Linked DNA regions of Astyanax mexicanus. The protein of the gene in region 1 interacts with the protein of each later gene in a pairwise test. Links are inferred from orthologs where the notes say so. Each region holds a gene or a part of one and is shown in the gene's direction. Other genes may lie near its edges.

Region 1 (7,876 bases):
AACATGCTTTCCAGTGGTATAATATTTATCGGCAAGAAGCATTGAAGAAATAATCCACCACACACAAACATCCTTACTAAACGTGCTATGTTTACATTATATTACCTCTCTAGTCAGTAATGTTCTACAGGGACTACACACGCTGTGTGTGTGTATTTGCACAGCTGTGTCAGCAATAAACTTTCGTGGCTAGTTTCCATACTGAGCCACGTTGACTGTGCTGTATCAGAAATGCTCAAGATCTTAAGAAAAACAGTAAAATTATTTAGTTATGCATGTGTGTGTGTGTGTTTTATCAGTTACTGCCTAAACCCGCTGGTCTAAATCAGAGCCCGTCCACTAAAATAACCCCACGCCTTGTTTAGAGTTAGCAGGCAGGGGCTAGTTAGCATTAGCTCCCACAGCCCCATTCATTCATTAGCGCACATCACGCTCTTCACAAAGGGCCATACCACAGAGTTAACCCGGCCCAGGTTTTAAACACCCCGCGCTGTTAAACACAGCTGGCTTTATTCAGGTTTACCCGTAACGCTCGCTTTAGTGACCCTCTGAACGATTGCTTTCATTGTTGCTGTCAGGAGTTCCGCTTTCCCAGCATTCATTAGCTACCTGCATCATCACTCCACACAACAGCGGGCGCGTCCCAAACGTACATCATGCTGCCTACTTAGGCAGGATTCTGAGGAGGAAAGACTCTCAGTTATGTCTGAATGTAAGCTTTGCAATCCTTGCCTTCTGCTTTATTGAGTGAAAGTACTGATTACAAATGCCAGCTTATAGAGAGGAATTGGTGCCAAATTAAGAAGCAAACACTTGATATGTTTATCAAAACACAAGAATTTCCATTTTTAAAACCAAACGCTGAAATAACGTGATGCTTCTTACTGAGTTTTATTCTGACTGGTTTCTTAGCCCCGCCCCACGTTCAGTAGTGGGTTCTGATTGGACAGTGATTACATTTTATATTGGCACGAATATAGTACTGCCCCTAGACAAAAGGCAATCCTGTGCATTGTAATTACAACGCATTTGAGCTGATTGCATTTTAACTTAAGTTTTGAAAATGTAAATTCTTGTGTATTGTTTTTCAATAAACAGATTAAGTGCAGTGAAATGTAATGTAATAGTGGCATCACATCACATCGTATTTTGCATGTTAGTAAGAAAAAACTTTTTTTTTTTTTAATTTTGCACCAATTTCTCTCCATACCAACACAAATAACCACTCATTTAAACACTAGCAGTGAGTTGTCATAGGAGGCATAGTCCAGATTGGATGATACATAACACTGATTATTGACATAAGGGTCAAAAGGTATTTAATTTTTTCAAGTAAAAAAAATACTGCATCAATTTGACATTGCTTGGTGATATTCCAATTCATAATTAGATTTTTGTCAACTCCGTCAGAAACATTAAAAGTATGTTATTTAAATTTTATCACGAGTGTATAGACCTTAAGTATTACACAATGTTGTGTAAAATAGTTAAATTATTCTAAATAATCCCATTGTAAGTAAAAATCCCATATGTATGGGTAATATTAAGAATATACAATCAGTGTTCTTAGGCAAATAAGAGCAAAAATCTGATTTAACACATCCACACAGCCAAAAAATCTGCTTTGAGCCACTGAAGGTAATTTGAACCCCAGACTAAACTGATTAACTGTATTAGGTGTAGCTTTAGAACAATCCAACACAAAGCCCAAAAAACACCAAGTTAATTAAAACAGTAATCCAGTAGTCTTTGATTTTCTGTGGTTAACAATAGTTGTCAACGATTGTTGTCTGGTGTGATACAAAGCAGAAAGAGCTGTTCTTTGTTCTGTGTTTTTAATTGATGTTTCTTCAAAACTGCAATTTTCTAAATGACACTGGCTGTTCACAACTCATCAACAGCCTGATGGGTGTAGCCACTTCATATATCCTGCTTCAACAGTCACAAAGTCTATTTTCAGCAATGTTGTCAGTTCTGATGGATAGCACAGTTAAACCAAACACTAACAATACTCTCATTTTAAATAATTTCCAAATATTACAAACTTGATCAATGACAAGAAAAAACAACATTCAGAGATCAAATTGCATTGATTTTACACAGCAAAAAATACAGAAGCTGATGACTTTCTTTTATAGTAGGCACAAATACTTTATATATTTTACATTAGATTTTTTACTTTAAACTGAAACTTTGAAGAAACAGTCCAGTTCACTCATTCTTCTTTCAGTCCTTAAACCAGTTTTAAGTCCTTATTTATCATCAGTTTGAGGTCCTGAAGAGCTGTCATCTGCCTTCCGGAAAAGGTTCAAAAATCTTGTAGAATACGGCACAAAATTGTTTTCTTTGTAGACCATTATGGTCGTAGAATGTGGTGTTTCAATCTTTTTCACGTTTGGCCGTGTGTCTTCCTCCATTTCAGGCATTTGAACTACAAAAAAAAAGTTTAGAATTAGAGTTTGTGGGATTAAATGCATATGGATCTACGATTTAACACATCTGAACGAGTAGATTAACTAACATCATCCCTTTGTTAGGCCATCTTGCTACTTTATTCATAAAGTTTTAAGGGTTTGGAAATCAATATTTGGTGGAATAGTCCTGGTTTTTAATCACAGTTTTCATGCATCTTGGCATCATGTTCTCCTCCACCAGTCTTACACACTGCTTTTGGGTAACTTTAAGCCTTTACTCCTGGTGCAACAATTGAAGCAGTTCTACTTTGGTTTTCAATTTGGTAAACTCGAAGAAAATCATATATTTTTAAGTGGTCTCCAATTTTTTTCCAGAGCTGTACCTAAAATTATATCCATATGCAAAATGCACATTTCTATTTGTCAGAATTACATGAACTATATTATAAATTACGATTTGTACTGAATATAACAGTTTGGATACCATATAAACCAAGTGACGAGACAAAATGATATTAAAGATAGTGAGAAGTGAGTAGTCAGAATGGATTTGTAGATCTGTTAAACTGATATAATTAATAATAAAGATCGTAGCTGATTTTGTACTGAGTGTTTGTATTTGTATTAAAGAGCTGAAACTGTGGGTTTGACCTCATGCTGTCCGCTTACCCGGCGGGTCGTTTCTGTGCGTGTATCTGTAGTACCCGTAAGACCCGAGCATAGTCCAGACTCCGACCGCGTACACCATCGCGGCGCGCTTATTCCACTTCAACGCGTCCATACTGTTTATTCCTTTATTACAGTTTATTCCTTTTTTACAGTTTATTTAACAATAAAACAACCTTAGCAAGGCTAAAGCTAATGTCATTTGAAGTATGCAACTCCAGCAGGCGTATGTGGTACGATAAAAGACCCACTGTCAAAATAAAAGTCTGAATCCAGGGCCTACTATATATTTTTTATTTTAATAAAGTGCACTGCTGTAAGGATGTATGATGTATGATGCATTGGTGAAAAATATTCTAATAATTTAAATTTTATATTGAAAAAAAAAAAAACAATAAAAAAAACAATAATAGAAAAAGAATTATTGTACTCTTAAGCTCGATAACTAAATACTTTATTGATCCCAGAGGGAATTCTAGACTTCAGTATCTAGTACACAGAAGTTACAAAAAATGATAAAATAAAATAAAACAAATAAATCTACAATTAAATATAAAGGAAAAAAAAGTTATTTTATTAAAAGAGTTATTTTATTGTCTGTAAAATGGAAGTAGTAAAGTTAAACACAGTCAAACAACAATGTACACAATGTACAATAAGTTGACATGTATTTATTTATTTATTTATTAATTTATTTATTGAAACTTTATCACATGTATGTAATAAATAAACTGTATTGGATGATTCAGGACAAAGTTTATTTAATTGACAATGATTTTAAAAATTAAAACCTAATTTCCACTGTTAACCCTGCAAAATTTCCACCAATATTAAATTAAACTTAAGTCACTCCGACTGTAGAATGTAGAGATGTCAGGGGATTAACACAGTCTGTACTGTATTTCTGACCCCTTATTGTTGTCTTTAAACGTAAAAATGTTAATTTAATTACATTTCAAAGGTAAAGACTTTTTCATAATACATGATGCATCCTTGAATTATAGCTTTTTAAGAGCTGGTAAGGATCCATGATAAGCAGTAGTTGGCGATTTAAGTTTTTTTGTCCCTCTCCTTTAAGCAGCCTCAGTCTGCCACTGTGTTATGGCAACTTCCAGCATGATCATGCATGTGACATGGTAAAAGTTGCCTTAAACTGGTTTCATGAACACAACAGTAAGTTCAGTGTTCTTTAATGACCTCTCTAGTCAGGAAGCAAAAACAGAAGTGGTAAAAAAGAAATAAGCATAACGTTTACTTCAACCAGATTGTCTGAAGAAGTTTTTGAACTTGTGAAGTCTTGTGAAATCCATGGCATGAAAAAATATAGTTGTTGTAACGTCAAAGGGAAGGAATCACTATATGTTCAAATATTTGATGGCACCTCATGTAATGAATGAACTGTAAGTCCCTGTATATATATATATATATATATATATATTTTTAGATATAACAAATTATTTTCAAATAAGTACAAAGGATAATAAAATAACTAAGTATATTTTAAAATATAGGTTTGAAATGTTTTCCTTTTGATTCCTAATATTTTGTTTAATGTGTATGTTATGTGTTTATATTGATTTATATGGAAACCTGGTATATACAAAGCCCTGTCAGCACTTCCTCTCTCTGATGTAGGTTAAAAGCGCAGAGGCGTCATTAGCGTGGGCGGGGCGTTTTGATTGGCGTCAGTCTGAAAGGACCAATGGCGAAGTGCAGAATATGTAGTAACACGTCATTCTACTGCTGGAGCTTCAGGAACTGGTGCTGCCGGCGAGAAGTTACCATTTGATTTATGATTATCTGTCCTAAAGCTCGGGATTCAGTATAGATGAGCTGTTTATAGATTATTTATCGAGGCTGTGAGACTGTGTAGCGGATTTAACTGAAAGGTAAGACCGGGTGCTTCTCTTTACCGGAGCCGCTGAGGCCGCCGGGGCTCACAGCTCGGGGACCGGGGCAGTGCGGCGGATTATCTGTCGGCTAGCCTGCTAGCTAACCTAACTAGCTCATAGTAACAAGTGCAGAGGAGCCCAACGCTGTTTAATAATATTGTATGTAAAGTATAAAGTTTGTTTTTACAGCTAACATTATTATTTGTTTATACAGCTAACATTTTATTATAATATACATTGATATACCTAGCTGACTGTACTGTTTTTAATCGTAGCGTTAAATGAATGGCGTTAGCTTCAGTTTCACATTCAGCTAGCCAACAGGCTATATCAGGTTAGCTTGCTAGTTAGCTAACCAGCTCCCGTTAGCTGCTTAGCTAAGCTAACGTAGCAATCTAGATATACATTAAGTTTTAACGTTGCGAAACATCGATGTAATGACCGTTATACATTATCCTGAATACGTTACACAGATAAAAAACGTATGTTAATTTTTTATCGTTAATTTACCATCTCTAGTGCACTGAAACAATGTTGCTCGACGTTAAAATTGATTTACTAGTAAATATTGATTTAACATTGATTCAACGTTATATATTTAGTAACTGTTGTATGTGTTAAAATATATTTGTATGAAATATATATATATTCTATATGTTGATTCTGTTCTTATAGCTTGCATTGAGCCCCAAACCTTTAAAGGCTACATATTACAATCAGAATTATAACTTTAGCCAATGCCTATTAGCAATATAAATTACAGTAAGGTTGTTTAAACGTTTTCCATCATCAGCATTCAAATATGTAATGTAACCAAAAAAACTCAAAACATGTTATTAAATGTTTTTGCTGTCAGGGAAGATAATTACAAGTTTGCTCACAAAGCTAAGCTTACCTAACTTAACCTTTTGTTAATCTGTTTTAATTCCTTTGAAAATATCAGTTTTCAAAATAGTTCCAGAATATTTTAAAAAGATTTATAAAAAGCACATTTGCACTGGGTATAATGTCAAAATGTATTAAAATCAAGTGTACACTGTACTGTGATCGATATGCTTGCATCAAGCTTTTTTTGTTGTGATATTATGTTATTATGCATACATAATCCAAAAAAAAGAGTAGTAAGTGTGATACTTGAGTTTGGGATGTAGTTGAACTAATACTAAAAATATGTAAGACAAAAATCTCGTTGAGTGCAGCAATTCATTAAATTTACTACGTTTCTGTCCACCACTGGTTACAAGCAGTTTGGGATTATGTATGTAAACGTTGTAAGCAAACGTTTGCTGATGGTGTGTTAGACATCCTATTAACACTCCTGTTACTTTCAGCTGTTAGGGAATAATGCAGCAATAATGTTCCTGGGTCAGATTGATCTGGTGCACCAAAATTAACCCTTACTTAAGCTCAATTAATATATCTCCAATCAATAATTAGTGTCATAAAAATATTAAATTTTACATGCTTTGATTCACTAGCCAACAATGTTTTAAAAAGTAAACATGTTGCAACACTTTAAAATAAGTACATTTTCATTTTCATATTTGTTTTATTTATTAAGCCAATCTGAAAATGATTCATGCCTCACAGATAATTAAACATAATATATATTAATTCTTTACACTTTAAACTTGTAGGTTTTTCCTACAACAAAATGAAATGGTAATACTGGTATTTATAAAGAGTATTTAAACCTATTCTGGTAGCAGCAAGTAAATACTGAAACAAAAAACAGCCAATACAGGATAAACCCTAACAAACTGAAATCTTTGTGTTCTCATAATAATTAACAACCAATCATCAGGAGAGCAGGAGATATGAACTGATCGTCTGGTCGTATTGACTCTGCAGAGTGCAGCGTGTCATTTGGTTCAGAGGTTAAAGTTCAGCTCCATCCAGCTGTCTTCTGTGATTCAGTGATTTCAGTACAGCCAGCCTGTCAGCAGCCTGCGGAGTTTACTGTAGGTGTGCCCCAGTGTGTAGAAGGAGTGACGTATCTTAGAAATAAATAGCTTGAAACGTTTCTGTGAAGCATTTGGCTCATGGCGTCTTTTCACTAAAGCGACTATAGGAAGAAATGTATTGAATGAGCAGGTGTGTCTTTCTCCTGTGCAATTTTAGACTTCATGGTATGTTGTAGATCCAGTTAGGATGCATTAGCCAGGTGTATCTCAGACTCAGGGTATAAAAGGCTCTGTGAGTCATTGGTGTCTCAGTTTTCTCTTTCTCTGGCTGCTTGCACTGTTTCCCTACAGATAAAATGGCAACGTTTCAGGAGTTTATTCAACAGAATGAGGATCGTGATGGGGTGCGATGCAGCTGGAACCTCTGGCCCTCCAGCAGGTTGGAGGCCACGCGAATGGTGGTACCAGTATCCTGCCTTTTCACCCCCCTTAAAGAGCGGCCCAACCTGCCTCCGGTACAGTACGAACCCGTGCTCTGCAGTCGAGCCACCTGCAAAGCCGTGCTCAACCCACTCTGGTAAGTGGATATCATGTATATGTATATACAGCAATTTGTGTTGGATTTAGATATACGGTGTAGATTTTATGCTTTTGTATTATTGTACATTACTCCTGGAATAAAATTATTTCCGTTGTATGACTCTGGGAAGGGGGTCAATAAAGGTTCTGTTGTTGACTTTATGTTTAAGAAATAGCTGCAGGTCATTCTAATGTACTGTGTTATTCCATAAGCAAAAGCTTTTTGTGTTTTTATTTTTTATTTTTCTTTATTTTTAAATTATTTTTTAAATCAGTATTCAATTTTATGAAAAAAAAAAAAAAACTAACACTACCTGGCCCTGTATGAAAAAGGTAGAGAGAGCCTAGAAAGGAATAAAAAACTATTTCAGTGGCACCGGAAACAACAGTGAGATAAGAACTACAAATGGAAAAATGTTTT
Region 2 (6,999 bases), on another chromosome or scaffold:
ACACCAGAGAAATAGCCACGTGTTTGTATTTCTCTACAGGCGTTGAGATGGTCAACGGTCTCTAGGGCTTTCACGCGCGGCACGCACTTTTATGCAGAGCATCGCTTTTTACGCATGCCGCACGGTTTTACCCATTTTGGGCACTTTTATGCACAGTGGCTTTTACGCACGGCACGCGCTTTTAAGCACAGCTGCTTTTACGCACGGCGCGAGCTTTTACGCACGGGATGCGCTTTTACGCACGGCACGCGCTTTTACGCACAGCGGCTTTTACGCACGGCGTGAGCTTTTACGCACAGCGCCTTATACGCATGGCGCGAGCTTTTACGCACGACACGTACTTTTACGCACGGCACGCGTTTTTACGCACAGAGGCTTTTACGCACGGCACGCGATTTTACGCACAGCATGCCATTTACGCACAGCGGATTTTACGCACACTACGCGTTTTACGCACAACACGAGTTTTATGCATTGTGTGTGCTTTTACACGCGGCACGTGCTTTTACGCACGCCACGCGCTTTTACGCATTTTGTGCACTTGTCTGTACAGCGCGCAAAACACAGACAACATAAAATATATTTCATGATAAACGCTCTTTTCATCTTTTTGTACTGTAACATGTTTATAAACATATGAATGCACCAGCAAGCACGCCTGTTATTTTGAAGAGTCTTGCTCTACGTCTCTTAAGCCCCCTAAATGCATAGAGCCCTCAGTTTAATGGTGGTGTGCTGGTTTCTGTAAGATGAGCCGGAAGGTGTGCCTGCTGAAAGATGTGCTGGTTGGTGTACCAGATGATGTGAGATGCACTGGTGTGTGGGGTAGCTGCTTTTGGATATACTGTGATGCGCTTTATGGTGTATTTGTTATAAGATGTGCCGGGTGGTGTGCTGAATGGCATCAAACGTTGGCTGGATAGTGTGCCAGTTGGGTTGCTGGCTGCTGCAAGATGTGCTGGGTTGTGTGCTGGATTGTATAAGATGTGCCAGGTGATGTTGCGGCTGCTTTAATATGCTCAGCAGCTTTAGGGTGTGCTGGATGGTATTTTGACTTACTTATGAAGCGCCAGTGTGGGTGCTGCTGTTTTAGGATGTGCCAGGTTGCGTGCCAGCTGCTGAAGATTGGCCCAATTAATTAATTTATATTTATTGGAGAAAACTACTATTTGCACATGTAGTGCAAACTGCATTTGTTTGTGTGTACTTCCTATTAAGAGAATGCTAATGTATTGTACTGTTACTGAGGTTTTTAAATATTTTAGACTATTTGTTATTTTAAGAATTAAAAGCAATACTACATCTTAAAAAAAAAAATTATATATTTAAATATTTTTGTCAGCAAGCCAATCATATTGGAGCGTTCTCTTGCCGCCCCGCCCACCTTACCCTACAGGCGCGGTAATTGGTGACGTCAATCCAACGCGGCCATTTTATTGTGCCTCTTCACTTTTCCCCAGACTGGTCCCTTGATTTTCAAATGAAATGCTAAATTTGCTGATAGTCAGTGATGGTTTGGAGCCATGTCATCTGCTGGTGTTGGTCCACTGTTTTATATTAAACTCCAAACTCGGTGCAGTGTTTTCCCGGAAAATCTTACACCACTTCATGTTTCCCTCTGCTGACAACTTTTATCTAAATGCAGATTTCATTTTCCAGCAGAACTTGGCACTCTGCCCACACTGCCAAAAGTACCAATTAGTCTTATTCTATTTTTCTGAGACTTTTTTGTCTGAGACAGATTTTTAGAGTTTTATTGGCTGTAAGCCATAATTATCAACAACAGAAGAAATGAAAGCTTAAAATAAATTACCCAGTGTGTAATACATCTATATAATAAAATATGAGTTTCACATTTTGAACTGAATTACTAAAATAAACGTAACTTTTTAATGATATTCTATTTTTTGTTGTTGAGATGCACTAGTAGCAGCTACGAAATGCTCACATTCAGGTGTTTTTTTTTTTTTACCGAAACAAAAAAAAACTCTGCAGCAAAAAAAATCTAAGACCTGAAACCCTCGTGATGCTTTTATTCAGTTTCGCACTTTCTAGATCAGTGGTTTTGAGCCGGTGGGCCATGGCCCCCTAGTGGGTCTCAGTGGTACTGCTAGGGTGATTTGGGCCAAAAATAAAGCTCGTTTTCTCTTTTGTTGAATAAAAACCCTTTCAGTATATACAGATATTTAATGAAGATCATTTGAGATGTGATCGGTGTTGAGGATTTTTTTTGCAAAAATAAAACATTGTTATATAGAGCTCGTCGATTGATCTGTAATAGTACACTCACGTGCCCGACACTGTTATCTGGTGGATTAGCAAGCTAGTTGATGGCTAGCTCTGTTAATATTAGTTGAAGTCTCGGTAAAGGTTTCTATCTTATTTTGTTGCGTTATACTGAGTTTTATCCAGCCTGGGAGTCTTATGGCGTGTCTATGGGTGTCTCTGAATCGAAGTTTAGTAATTTAGCCATCTAGCCTTCTAAAATACAGCTCAACCCGTTTTGGGTGCTTTTACGCACGGCACGCGCTTTTACGCGCGGCACGCGCTTTAACGCACGGCACGCGCCTTTACGCACGGCACGCGCTTTTACGCACAGCGACTTTTACGCACGGTACGAGCTTTTATGCAGGGCATTGCTTTTTTTTACCCACGGCGCGCGGTTTTATCCTATTGGGCGCTTTTACGCACAGTGGCTTTTACACATGGCGCGCTTTTATGCACAGTGGCTTTTACGCGCGGCACGCGCTTTTACGCACAGTGGCTTTTACGCAAGGCGCGCGCTTTTACGCACGGCATGCACTTTTACGCATTTTATCAATATACTTGATAAATGCTCTTTTCATTTCTTTGTACTGTAACATGTTGATAAACATGTAAATGCACCAGCAAGCGCGCCTGTTAATGTAAAAAGTCTTGCTCTACCTCCCTTAAACCTCTCTTAAATGCAAAGATCCCTGGTGGTGAATTCAAATAAGCTGTTCATTTTCGGTGTGCTTTCTGCAGTAAGATGTACCGGTTGGTGTGCCGGTTCCTGTAAGATCAGCCGGAAGGTGTGCCTGCTGAAAGATGTGCTGGTTGGTGTACCAGGTGCTGTGTGATGCACTGGTGTGTGTGGTAGCTGCTTTTGGATATACTGTGGCGTGGAAGAGGAAGGAAGACCCGTGAGACTCATGCTGAATGCTCAACAGCTCCTTTATTGAACCGGCTTGCCACTCACTTACAGTCTTTAACAAGACTAGGAGATCTAAAACCATCCCCACAGAGCTCAAATAGCCCAAAGGCCACCAACCCAGCTGTGTGTCTCCCAGATGGCAGATCCAGAGTGGTGCCCACCCTCTCTGCATAACCCCTCCCAAGGGAGATGCCCCACCCCTGTCATCCTCGTACACAGGAGAACAGAAACATGCCTGCAGGCAGCCACACACACAACCCAGAGCCGCCACAATACTGTGATGCGCTGTATGGTGTGTTTGTTGTAAGATGTGCCAGGTGGTGTGCCGGATGGCATCAAATGTGCCGGATAAAGTGCTGGCAGCATTAACGTTGGCTGGATAGTCCGTGGGTGCTGCTTTTCTAGGATGTGCCCGGTTGCGTGCCAGCTGCTGTAAGATTAGCCAGAATTATTGTTGTTTATTTATTGGAGAATACTACTATTTGCACTTATGGTAACGTTACAAACTGCATTTGTTGTCATGTACTTTCTATAAAGAGAATGCTTTGTATTGTACTTATTACTGAGGTAATTCAAATTGTAACGATTATTATTGTTATTGTTATTTTAGGAATTGAAAGCAATACTAGTTATATTTTAAGATAATTTTTTAAATATATTTATATATTTTTTGTCAGCAAGCCAATCATATTGCAGCATTCCTTCGGCGCCCCGCCCACCTTACCCTACAGACGTGGCAATTGGTGACGTCTATTCAACGCGGCCATTTTCGACGAGGGTCGGTAGAGTTGGGGTCTGGAGTTGGTGGATGTGATTTCGTGTTGTGTGGGTTTGATTAAGGAGACAAAAGCGCCAGGTAAGAGTTTATCGCTGCGCTTAGCGAACTTTTAAACCTCGCTGTGCCGCGTAGTTTAGCTGTGGGTGTCTATGAGGCGGAATGTAGTTAAGCTAATCTGCTCAGAAAGCTGAAGACCCGGAGTGCAGGAGCTCAGTGGGGGAGCTGAACTCTCAGCTAACAGGCTAACTAGCTGGCTAACTCCATTTAAGAGCCGTTTGACTGCTACATTAACATTTGTCTGATTTTTCTGCGCTGAGCTGTTTAACAGACGCAGCCCAGGAGCCTTTCCCACCTGTGTGATGTAAGTTACTTTGAGTGCAGTCAGACTCCTCCACTCAGTGGTGTTCATGTTAGCTAACATTAGCTGGGGTTAGGTTAGTTACCATAACCCAGATAGCTATGTTAGCTAACAGTTAGTGTCAGTTAAACTAGCTACATTAAAGTATGTTGTGACTTACACTTTTCTGTGATAATTTAGACATTTATTCCGCAGAAACCAGCAGTAAAACTATCTATATCTGCATGCCCTGTTCTTGGCTGATTGCTCAATCTGTAAACCCCAGACCCTGAAGCTCACAGACTTCCCCTGTTTGTGTTCCAGTGAGCTGATCTGATCTCAGCTGTTGAAGACGTGGCAACAGCACCCAAGGCAGACTTACATGCTGATTAAACATTAGCTAAATATCTCTGAAATAAGTGTTTTATTTAATATAGAACAATCAGACCTCCTGCTAGGGATGAAACAAACTATGAGAGTTCATAGTTCAGAGCTCAGTGCTATTTGAGCTAAGTAGCCACAGAGCCCATAAAATGTAAGGGTAGAAAAAGAATGCAGCTACTGAAACATAATGTGTTCTCTCAGTTTAACAGTCCAGTCTGTTTCACCTGCTTAAGAAGTTGTTTCCACCTGCTGCTTTCCCTGCTTTAACACACTCACTTAAAAACTCAGTAATGGATGACAATAAGGGGACAATTTATGTATCTGTAGCTAAGGCTGGGCGATATTGTAAAAAAGAAAAAAGAGAGAATCTTCATATTCTTCAAATGTATGAGCGTTTCTCGATTACAGTATTCCATTTTTGTTTATTGCATAACTTTAGTGTTTTATTTTAAACAAACAGCACTATTTAAAGTGTTACACATTTTGTATATAATTTCTTATTTTTTATAGTTTTTAGTAAGCAGCCAACTTTAACCTTACAGCAGTTTTAATACTAGACACAGTACAAGCATTGTATTTCCGTTAAGGAAAAATATAAAATAAGATCACTGCCCTTACAAGTTTCTAACACAAACAAATGTCTGTGTACTGATATCCCCTCTGGCAACAGTATGTAAAGTTCTACAATCTTAGATATCCAAAACATAAAATTAATCCAATTAACCTCCCAGCCCTATCTATAGCTGTATTATTTTTTTTCCATGAAACTTCACTGTTCCCTTAGTTTAATGTAGCAGTCTGTTTCACTTGCTTAATATGTTGCTCCCTTAGTTTTGAGGGAATGCTCTATGCCAACCATAGTACATAGAACAGTATATATTACCTCTGGTCCTGAAGGCCCTGCACATTTTAAGGATGTCAGCTTATTTCCATCCCATTATTGAGTTAAAGTGGGGGTGTTAAAGCAGAGGAATTACTACAATGATGGAAAGTGCTGCGCTAGAGGACAGCTTCTCATCCGTAACATATATTTTCTTATATTAGCCAGCTCTTACAATATTAGGTAGCTAACAACTTGCTTGGATTCCTTGTAGATGCCTAGACTTTACATGAACTCTAACAAGGATTTTTTTTAACCTTTTGCTTCTGCTTGTGTGGCTATTTACCTGAATATACTGGACCCATGTGCATGTACAAAGACTTTTTTTTTTTAGATTCATTTATAAGTTCCCTACTTTAGTACACCCCCTGCCACTCTAAAAGAACTTGTTAATTAACTGATTTGAATGTGTTTAAGTGTGTTGGGTGCAGGGAGATGTGTGAGACAGGGTTAGCAAACACTGATCTGTTAAATGCAACTGAACTCTTAAGTAAATGATACTCTGTTGAAGCAGCCATAACATTAATCTAGTGTTTAGGGAAGATTCAATTTTAAGGTAGGCGTAAGTTTAGAGTCACATTCCACATTTACTATTTACATTGAAGGACTAGGTTCAGTTGCATTTAATGTGGGTTTAGTTGAATGTTGGGTGAACTTCTGTGGCTTCTCTATAATGGGGAAAATGTACCATCCGGTGATGCACAATGTTAGGTATTAAACAGAATGTTTGGTATAATTTACCCAACCTTTCTTTGCAAAATAAAAACTTTCAGTTTGCTTATAACTGCAAAATTTAGTTCAACCTGTTGCTGTTGACAGGAGGCAAACACACCTTGTTACTTTGCTTGGAGCAGTGCCAAGCCTCTTTCTACAGTATTATTAGCACAGACTGAATTGCTTTTGTCTTCTTCACAATCCCCAGGATTGAGGAAAGATGATGGAAGAGAGTGGAATAGAGACTACCCCACCAACCACTCCTCCACCTCCCCCCAGTGTGGCCGCTGCTGTTAGTCCTCCTCCTCTCACAGTGGGTAAGGTCTAAGCTGGTGCCTTTTGTTAGGTGATGGATATTTAGGGGGATGTTTACTGTGAATGTTTACAATGGAGCACCATCTGTGTGGAAGATAAAATTTTGCCACAGTGGAAACGTCTGTTCGATAGTCGTTTATTGAAAGTGACATTCAGCAGGTGCATCATTTTCTGAAAAATTCACATTGGCAAAAAATGAATGCATGCAATATTGGATAAAGTTGTGATTCATTAGAATCTAATACTTCTGTGGGTGCAGTGGAATCACCATCTTCAGATCATATACAAGTCAGACTTCTTCCATATGCACTAAATCATGATGACACTTTTTTACACCTGGTCTCTTTATGTGATTAGTATGTGGAATATGCTGATTTGTTTGTTGTACTGCAATTAGTACTGTGTCAAGTGTCCTG
Region 3 (7,054 bases), on another chromosome or scaffold:
TAGAATTGGCTGCTTGTTCGTTAACATAGTGATAAAGCAGGCACTACAATCTCTTGTGATCATTTAATTTTGATTTTGCTTCGGAATAAAGAGTAACTCACCGTAAAGCATGCTGTTGGCGCCCTGTTCTGCTACTCTCGTTTTTCTTTATAATATATAATGAATGACTGAAATATTTATAGCTTATTTATATTGTGTAATTATATTATGTTGCCATCTTGCTGATTCATCAAACAGACTAAACAGTTACAAGTGGTGTATCTCAATTATGCCTTCGTTATGATATTGGATGCAGTGTTCGACAGGATTAAAACATCGTGTCATCCTGCCGTCCAGGGTGTTGCATTTCCCATTACACATGTGTTTCGGCAGTCAGGCTTTCATGTGATATTGCACGGTTTTAACACGGTTACATTTGCGGTGTAACTCAAGTTGCATTCATTTTAAGGTCAAGCCCTCAAAATGAGTTATGCGGTAGGGCTAGTTTTTCCAATAAAAAAAAGGAAATTTGCTGATTTTTAAATGGCTTCAAATTACACAGTTTGTTACAGCTTTATTATTGTTTTGTTTACGGTAAAATACAGGTGGTACAATTCTGTGGTCTGTTTTTTTTTTTTTTGCCTCGGGCTGTGATTGCTAGCTCTTCCATAAATACAAAATTCCATTATTCTAAAATTCTGTTCGCCGAGTGTAAGAAAATGGGTATATTAACTGTGGACAATGAATGTAAAAAAGGAAAGCAAACAAATCATAAGGAAATCTGTCAAAACGTGGTGGATAGATTTTTTTTGTTTTGTTTTGTCTAAGATTTTAGAAAATATTATTAACATATTAACTATTGCTTCCCGAAAAAATAATTTTACAAACAAATACAGAGAATGAGAATTGTCTCATTTAACCAACATATTGTCATTGTTCTGTATCAGAACATTACGCATCAAATATTCAGATTTATGCAAACGCTTGTGCACCCTCGGGCAAATTGCGCGTTTAGATATTTGAAATAAAAATAAGTACTCATGGACACAAACGTATTTATAAAAATCTGCACGTTTTATACATGATTTCTATTTAGTTTGGAAATTATGACACATGTACATTATAACAAAATGTTAAATTAAGCAATTGTAATTATGCTTTCTAATGTGACGTGTTTACAACAAATGTAATTTGGCCCGGGGTTTAAGATGACTACAAATACAAAACAATTTGCCTGTATTAATATAAAGATGTTTTGACAACTGGTAAATTTACTGCATAAAATATATATAGAGATATATAGATGGATAAGAATTAATGTATTTTTTTTTTTTAAAGGAAACGCTTCTACAGTGTCTAAATGAAGAAACGTGTGAAATGGAGCTTGTCACTAAAAACCTATAAAAACACACGCCGTTTCTGATTGGTTGGTAACTGCATAGGTTCTAACCATGTGATATCCAACGCCCAATGTCTGTAAGTTTCAGGTTGGTGTGAACTCTGGCTGTAATGGCATCATATATCTCCCTACCTCGTAAAAACGACACTGAGGATTCTGGTCCAACAAATCAACTGGAAGCGAAAAATGAATTCATCTTACATTGTGGGTGTTTTTCCCAGTAATGCGCAGTTCCCTTATGCAGTACAAGCAGATGAACATTGCGTTCAGCTTCAGCTACAGTGTAGAAATAAAGAATTACTATCTACATCGTTAATTATCAATACATGGCGCTCATCACAAAAAAACTGGGATTTCTCAGAGACTTCCTATGATGTGGAATATGTGGAACAACAGCCCTGACCAGCATCTGCTCAAAGATGAAGCCTTGGAGCAGATCATCAGGTATGAATTCATTTTTTTTTTACCTTTGATCTGATAGTTGGATGTGCTTGTTTGTATGTAAGCTAAACGGCTAATGTCTTTATTATTGGTTGTTAATGACTGCCTTGTCATTCAACGTTGGCCAATCAGAAAGTAGTATTTAATAAATTAATACATTTTATAACACGCTCGAAGACTCTACAAAGAAAGCATGTTGATATCAAATAATATGCAGTGCAGGGCCTACACCAGCATAACGAACTTCCTAGAAAAATTACATATGATTTACCTTGTGTCCTACATAAATTGATTAAATTAATGTATTTACGCAATGTACTTTGCTTGTATTCTTTAAAATAACTAATTCGTATTTTACATATTATGTCTATGATATTTTTTTTTACTTACAAAGCAAACGTGCCAGTGTTATATTAACACTATGGTTGCTAAATTGATCTGATGAAGTGTTGAGTTACCATTATTCTGTGTAAAAAAAATAGGCCTGTTTAGTTAAGTTAAGTTTAGGCCTAAACTTAAACAAAAATCTTTAAATTAAATTTGACCAGATATATGGTTAATTATTTTATAAACATTTAGCCAAATAATTTTTTAAATTGTTTTAAGAACCCTTTTTAAGTTGTTAATAGTTAGAACAATTTTAATGTACAGTATTGGTGACAGTACCATATCTTTGGAACTTAGTTAACATCAGTCAAATATTATCCAGTAGTAATGATGTGCAATCCTACAAAACCAGTAGGATAAGGTAAATGATTAAGCAAATTAATTAATTTAACAGTAATATTAAAGTGAATCAGTTTATGAGAACCATGACCTGATTCTCATTACATGATGGAAGCAATACATTTGTGTACAGATCCAATGCAGAAATAACGTGAATAAAGTGAGAAATAAATTATTAATGAATTATCTTTGTTGGTGCTGCTTACTGTCTTGTGCACTGTACAAGTAACCATGACCTAAATATACCCAGACTTTGATTTTTTTACTTTAACTTTTTTTAAATCTCTAATTCTAATATATCATGCAGCTTTTCCATTTTTATCTAAAACATGACATTACAAAAAGTCTATCTATACAAGACAGAGAATGTCTTATACTGTATAATTTAGTCCAGCACAACCATATATGTTCAAAAAGCAATAATACCGAGATACTAGTAGAAGTATTGTCAAATTGTCACTATTTTTATTTTGATTGATTTTAATTTATACAGATTGTATGAAGAACATTTTTTGGACCATGCCATTTCAAGAGAATAACTTTCTTACTGTCTATAGTAAAAAGAAGAGTCTTGGTGAGCGCACACATATATGATACAGTAACATAATAAGCAGTCTAGACGTGAACACAGACGCTTATGTACTTGCTGAATAACGTGTCACTGTCACATATTAAATACATGCGAGCTTGTTTAAACCTAGCCATTTCAAAAAGAGAACATCTGTTTCATCAACATATAGAAACACATACACTATGTTCAACAGAAAATATGAAAAAATATATGGTGAGAAAATATGGTGCATCATGTACACTATACCTCTAAGTTTACTATATACGCTTATATATTATGCATATGTACCCATGTTCATGCGTTGTCATATATCTGTAGCGAAGGTAAAGCGTTGATTGGTGAAGCACCTCTGACTGGTAAAGGCTCACTGGTTCCGCGCTTTACGTTAATCAGGGCTGTAAGGATTTGCATAATGGTTTTTGATTCGGTATGCAACACAGCACAGCTTTCTCTGTGCTCCTCCTCTATGTAAAATGGCGCCTTGCAAAAATCCCTCCTTTCTAGCTCCTCCTTCTCCTCCTTTAGCCAGGACGCGACTATAAATCTGTTGTTGTTTATGAAAATTTACTACTCCGCTTCACAACTTTACGAGCCTACACGAGTTCCTATTGGCAAGCGGTGGTCACATGACCTCAAGGTCCCATGCACATGAACTTTTTATGTGCATGCTTCCCTTCCCCAGAATAGGGCTGCATTCTTGTCGCGCGGCTCGCTCCTACGCTCGCGCTTGTTTTCTCCGGCAGCGTTCGCTGTTGATATATTTGTTTGTTTGTGTAGTTTTGTTTCTTACAGCTTTATTTCAACGCCGTGGGTGAGGATCTCTAAGCTAAAGGACGTGTGGGCACCGCTAGGATGCTTTCTTACTGGATGTATGGACTGCACTTTGAGCTGGACAGCTGTCAGATGTTTCCCACGTTCTGGGATCCACGTTCTACTGCTATGACTGGTAGGAGTCTAGAACCTTATGCTAAAACATATGTTAAAAGTTATTTTATTATCATTATTGTTCTCAAAATATGACATTTGTATTGTTGTCAGTGCTCAAAAACGACCGGTTGCTTTCTATTTTTTGGGGGGAAATCAGATGTTTACGCCTAGTAAGATAATTTGCGATTAATCTGCGAATAATAGTCTGGACATCAGTTGTGATTACAAGACATTTCTTTCAGCTTAGACCGACGAAAAAATGCCTGGAAAAAACACAAACTTGGCTGGGGTCCTGATACCAGTGTGAACTGGAGTGGAGGGTTTGATGATTAGTGTTCACGTACTGCTGACAGCAAAGGCGCACTGGCAATCTCATTATAGACGTTTAGGCCTTTGCCAAAATATAGCCCTAACATGTGGTGTTGTCTCGGTCTGTCGCAGAGGCAGATTCTAAACCAACCATCTGGGGGCGCTGTGACATAAAGCACAGATAAGAATTGCATAGGTTCTATGTTTGCAGAGGTTAAAATTAATGATTGTAAACCTGTAAAGTGCATGGCGTTCAAAAGCATGCCCTTTGGAGTGCAACTTCTGTACAAATGTTTTGATCTTGCCTACATGGCGATGAAGGTCTGGAAGGAGTGTGGGGAAAATCTGTTCTGGTTCTATTTTCAGACGCTTGCTTGCTATTTAGACCAGCCTGTTTCCTCTTAAGAGTATGTGACATATAGATCTGTTTTGAATTAGACCGTTAACCTCAGTTACATATTTTTAAAATCACTGTGTCACTATACTAAACGTTTTAATATATTGGCTTGACCAATCTCTTACAATTGTAAAGTAATTTGTACACAATACATTCGCTAGTGTTAAATCAACACTGTTAGTTTTAAATTAACATATAACACTAACAGTGTTGATCTCACACTAGCGAATTTACTCGGTATTAAGCAAATAGTATTAAAACGTTTGCACTATTTGAAGCAAAATGGATAGAATGCATTTTTCAGTACTGTACTACTTTTCCCCGTCATGTGATGTTATGTTGACGTTGACGTTATTCATCTGAAAAGCCCTTTATATTTAAATCATTACAATTCTGATAACCATACATCTTGCAACCAAACATACCTTGCAACGAGTAGCTGTATCGAGGGTTTTAATACTCAAATCTGAAAAATAAAAAACATTTTAAAATATTTAATTGTGCTGCTGATCCATATGCCCTGCTCTCATGGTCAAATTCAGTTTAAATAATTCCTAATGTTGTATCAAATAGTTTTAATTCCGTATCCTTTGTCGTTTAATTTTTAGGTCAAAAAACTGTCTGGTGACAGCTTACCAATGCGTATGCAAAAATCATAATTCATTTTTATTTAGCGAGGTTTCTAACTTACAAAATTCTTTTCGATTCCTTCACTGAGGATGTATCACTGCTTTTATTCGATACGCAGCAAAATCTCTGTCGTAGTGCACTCGCAGCTTTTTACTGCGCACAAGCGAGGTTTTATGCATGGTTTTATTTTACGACAACGTCACAGGCCAGTTATAAGCATCAACGCTTTTATCGCCCATGTGTGATGTCTCAGTCTGACTGTATTCCTCGTGTTATATCTGCTGTCGTTTAGTTATTGGTTAGACGTTTCTGGCTACGATAGAGATGAGCTTAACAATGAGTATTACTCCAATTCCAATTTCTCCGTTGCGGTGTTGAATCTGTGTCTTTTGTGTGGTAGTAGGTAGATTTTGTAGAGCTTAAAAATATTTGCAATTTTAGCATTTGAGTTTCAAGTAAAAAAAATAAATGCTAAAGGCTAAAAAAAGAATTTTCTCACACACACACACACACACACACACCTCATTTACATGCACTCTTTAACAAGAGGTTTATTTAACTGATCGACTTGCTATACGTGATCTACTGCTTTCTTATCGCATCATAAGGTTTAATTTAAAGATTTGAGCTGATTTCTTTATTTTTTAACTTGCATTTTTAAACATGGGGTTAGTTTAGTAATGCAATTAAAAAAGTAGCATGTTGTAAAACTGATGTGTGAAGAATATTTAAAAGATTTAGGGAAATATTGATCTTTCGGGAGACTTCATTTTGTTGCATCTGCATCTCTGCACTTTACTCCAGATTTTATTTCTCTCAAATTTAAAGGAGGATTTGAGCACTGTGTAGATATGTGTTTTTTGGAAGGTATGGCTTTTAACAATGAGTTCAAAATAATGAACAGTTTTTATTATTTTTTATTGTTTGTGGATTTTTTCTTTGCTTCAGAGAGGCTGCTTTTAAAATACGCTTTCATTTTCTTTTAATATCTGATATTGCTATTTCACTGGATCGCTTGCTTTTTGTTTATTCTGTTTGATTGCATTGTACCCAACGAAATGTTTCGGAGCGTTTTCCAGCGAGGTCACGGTATTGTGTTTTGTTTCAGCAGTGATAATTTTTCCACTGCAAAGTCGTTAACCTCTGCATGACCCTGTCCCAGCCTGTAGCCTCGAGTAGGGCAGTGAGGGGGGAATTCTTCGGTTATACCAAAGGGTGGCGCAACACTACAGTTCTAAACAGCACCGCTAGAGCCTTCAAACAATTCCACCCAGATTTCCTGCTCGCGCGTGAGTTTACCGCTGGAGGTCATCACACAGGATTTACGACTGGTCAACAAAAAACACGTGACTTCAACCCATACCCCATATTTGGGCGCCTACGTAAGAGAGCATGAAGTCTGTGTCTCAGTCATTTCCATAATTCATCATAAATTGTGCAAGGGTGCAATAGACGCGCAAAAGCATCAAGAGACACAAATCAAGCACGCGCGGCATTGTTGTTCTCTCCACGGTGGTAATAATAACAATAATACCGGCAGAGCAATTATCAGGTAATCGCTGTCAACCAACCAATGAGCTCTTATTTTGTAAACTCATTCTGCGGTCGCTATCCAAATGGCGCGGACTATCCGTTACATAACTATGGGGATCACGGTTCAGGCGACCAATACCGA

What was found. The genes of interacting proteins can lie anywhere in the genome.
Region 2: the proteins of sec23b (region 1) and prrc1 interact in binary tests that used the Homo sapiens proteins (3 or more experiments, as listed by UniProt). The two-hybrid records come from large-scale screens. The link is inferred for Astyanax mexicanus from reciprocal best matches to the Homo sapiens genes SEC23B and PRRC1.
Region 3: the proteins of sec23b (region 1) and hoxa3a interact in binary tests that used the Homo sapiens proteins (3 or more experiments, as listed by UniProt). The two-hybrid records come from large-scale screens. The link is inferred for Astyanax mexicanus from reciprocal best matches to the Homo sapiens genes SEC23B and HOXA3.

Annotation. Positions count from the first base shown.
Region 1 is NC_064412.1:55,309,136-55,317,011, reverse strand, and holds the start of sec23b (protein transport protein Sec23B), read left to right. Parts: upstream 1-4,803; 5' UTR 4,804-4,969; intron 4,970-6,930; exon of another isoform or gene 6,931-7,066; intron 7,067-7,227; 5' UTR 7,228-7,232; coding exon 7,233-7,453; intron 7,454-7,876. Other genes in the region: dtd1 (D-aminoacyl-tRNA deacylase 1), read right to left, coding at 524-602; small integral membrane protein 26-like, read right to left, coding at 2,253-2,431, 3,084-3,195. UniProt on the Homo sapiens protein: Component of the coat protein complex II (COPII) which promotes the formation of transport vesicles from the endoplasmic reticulum (ER).
Region 2 is NC_064427.1:29,012,097-29,019,095, forward strand, and holds the start of prrc1 (protein PRRC1), read left to right. Parts: upstream 1-3,921; 5' UTR 3,922-4,031; intron 4,032-6,476; 5' UTR 6,477-6,488; coding exon 6,489-6,585; intron 6,586-6,999. UniProt on the Homo sapiens protein: May act as a regulator of the protein kinase A (PKA) activity during embryonic development.
Region 3 is NC_064410.1:62,557,717-62,564,770, reverse strand, and holds the start of hoxa3a (homeobox protein Hox-A3a), read left to right. Parts: upstream 1-3,976; 5' UTR 3,977-4,062; intron 4,063-4,073; exon of another isoform or gene 4,074-6,952; coding exon of another isoform or gene 6,953-7,054. Other genes in the region: hoxa5a (homeobox protein Hox-A5a), read left to right, coding at 6,953-7,054. UniProt on the Homo sapiens protein: Sequence-specific transcription factor which is part of a developmental regulatory system that provides cells with specific positional identities on the anterior-posterior axis.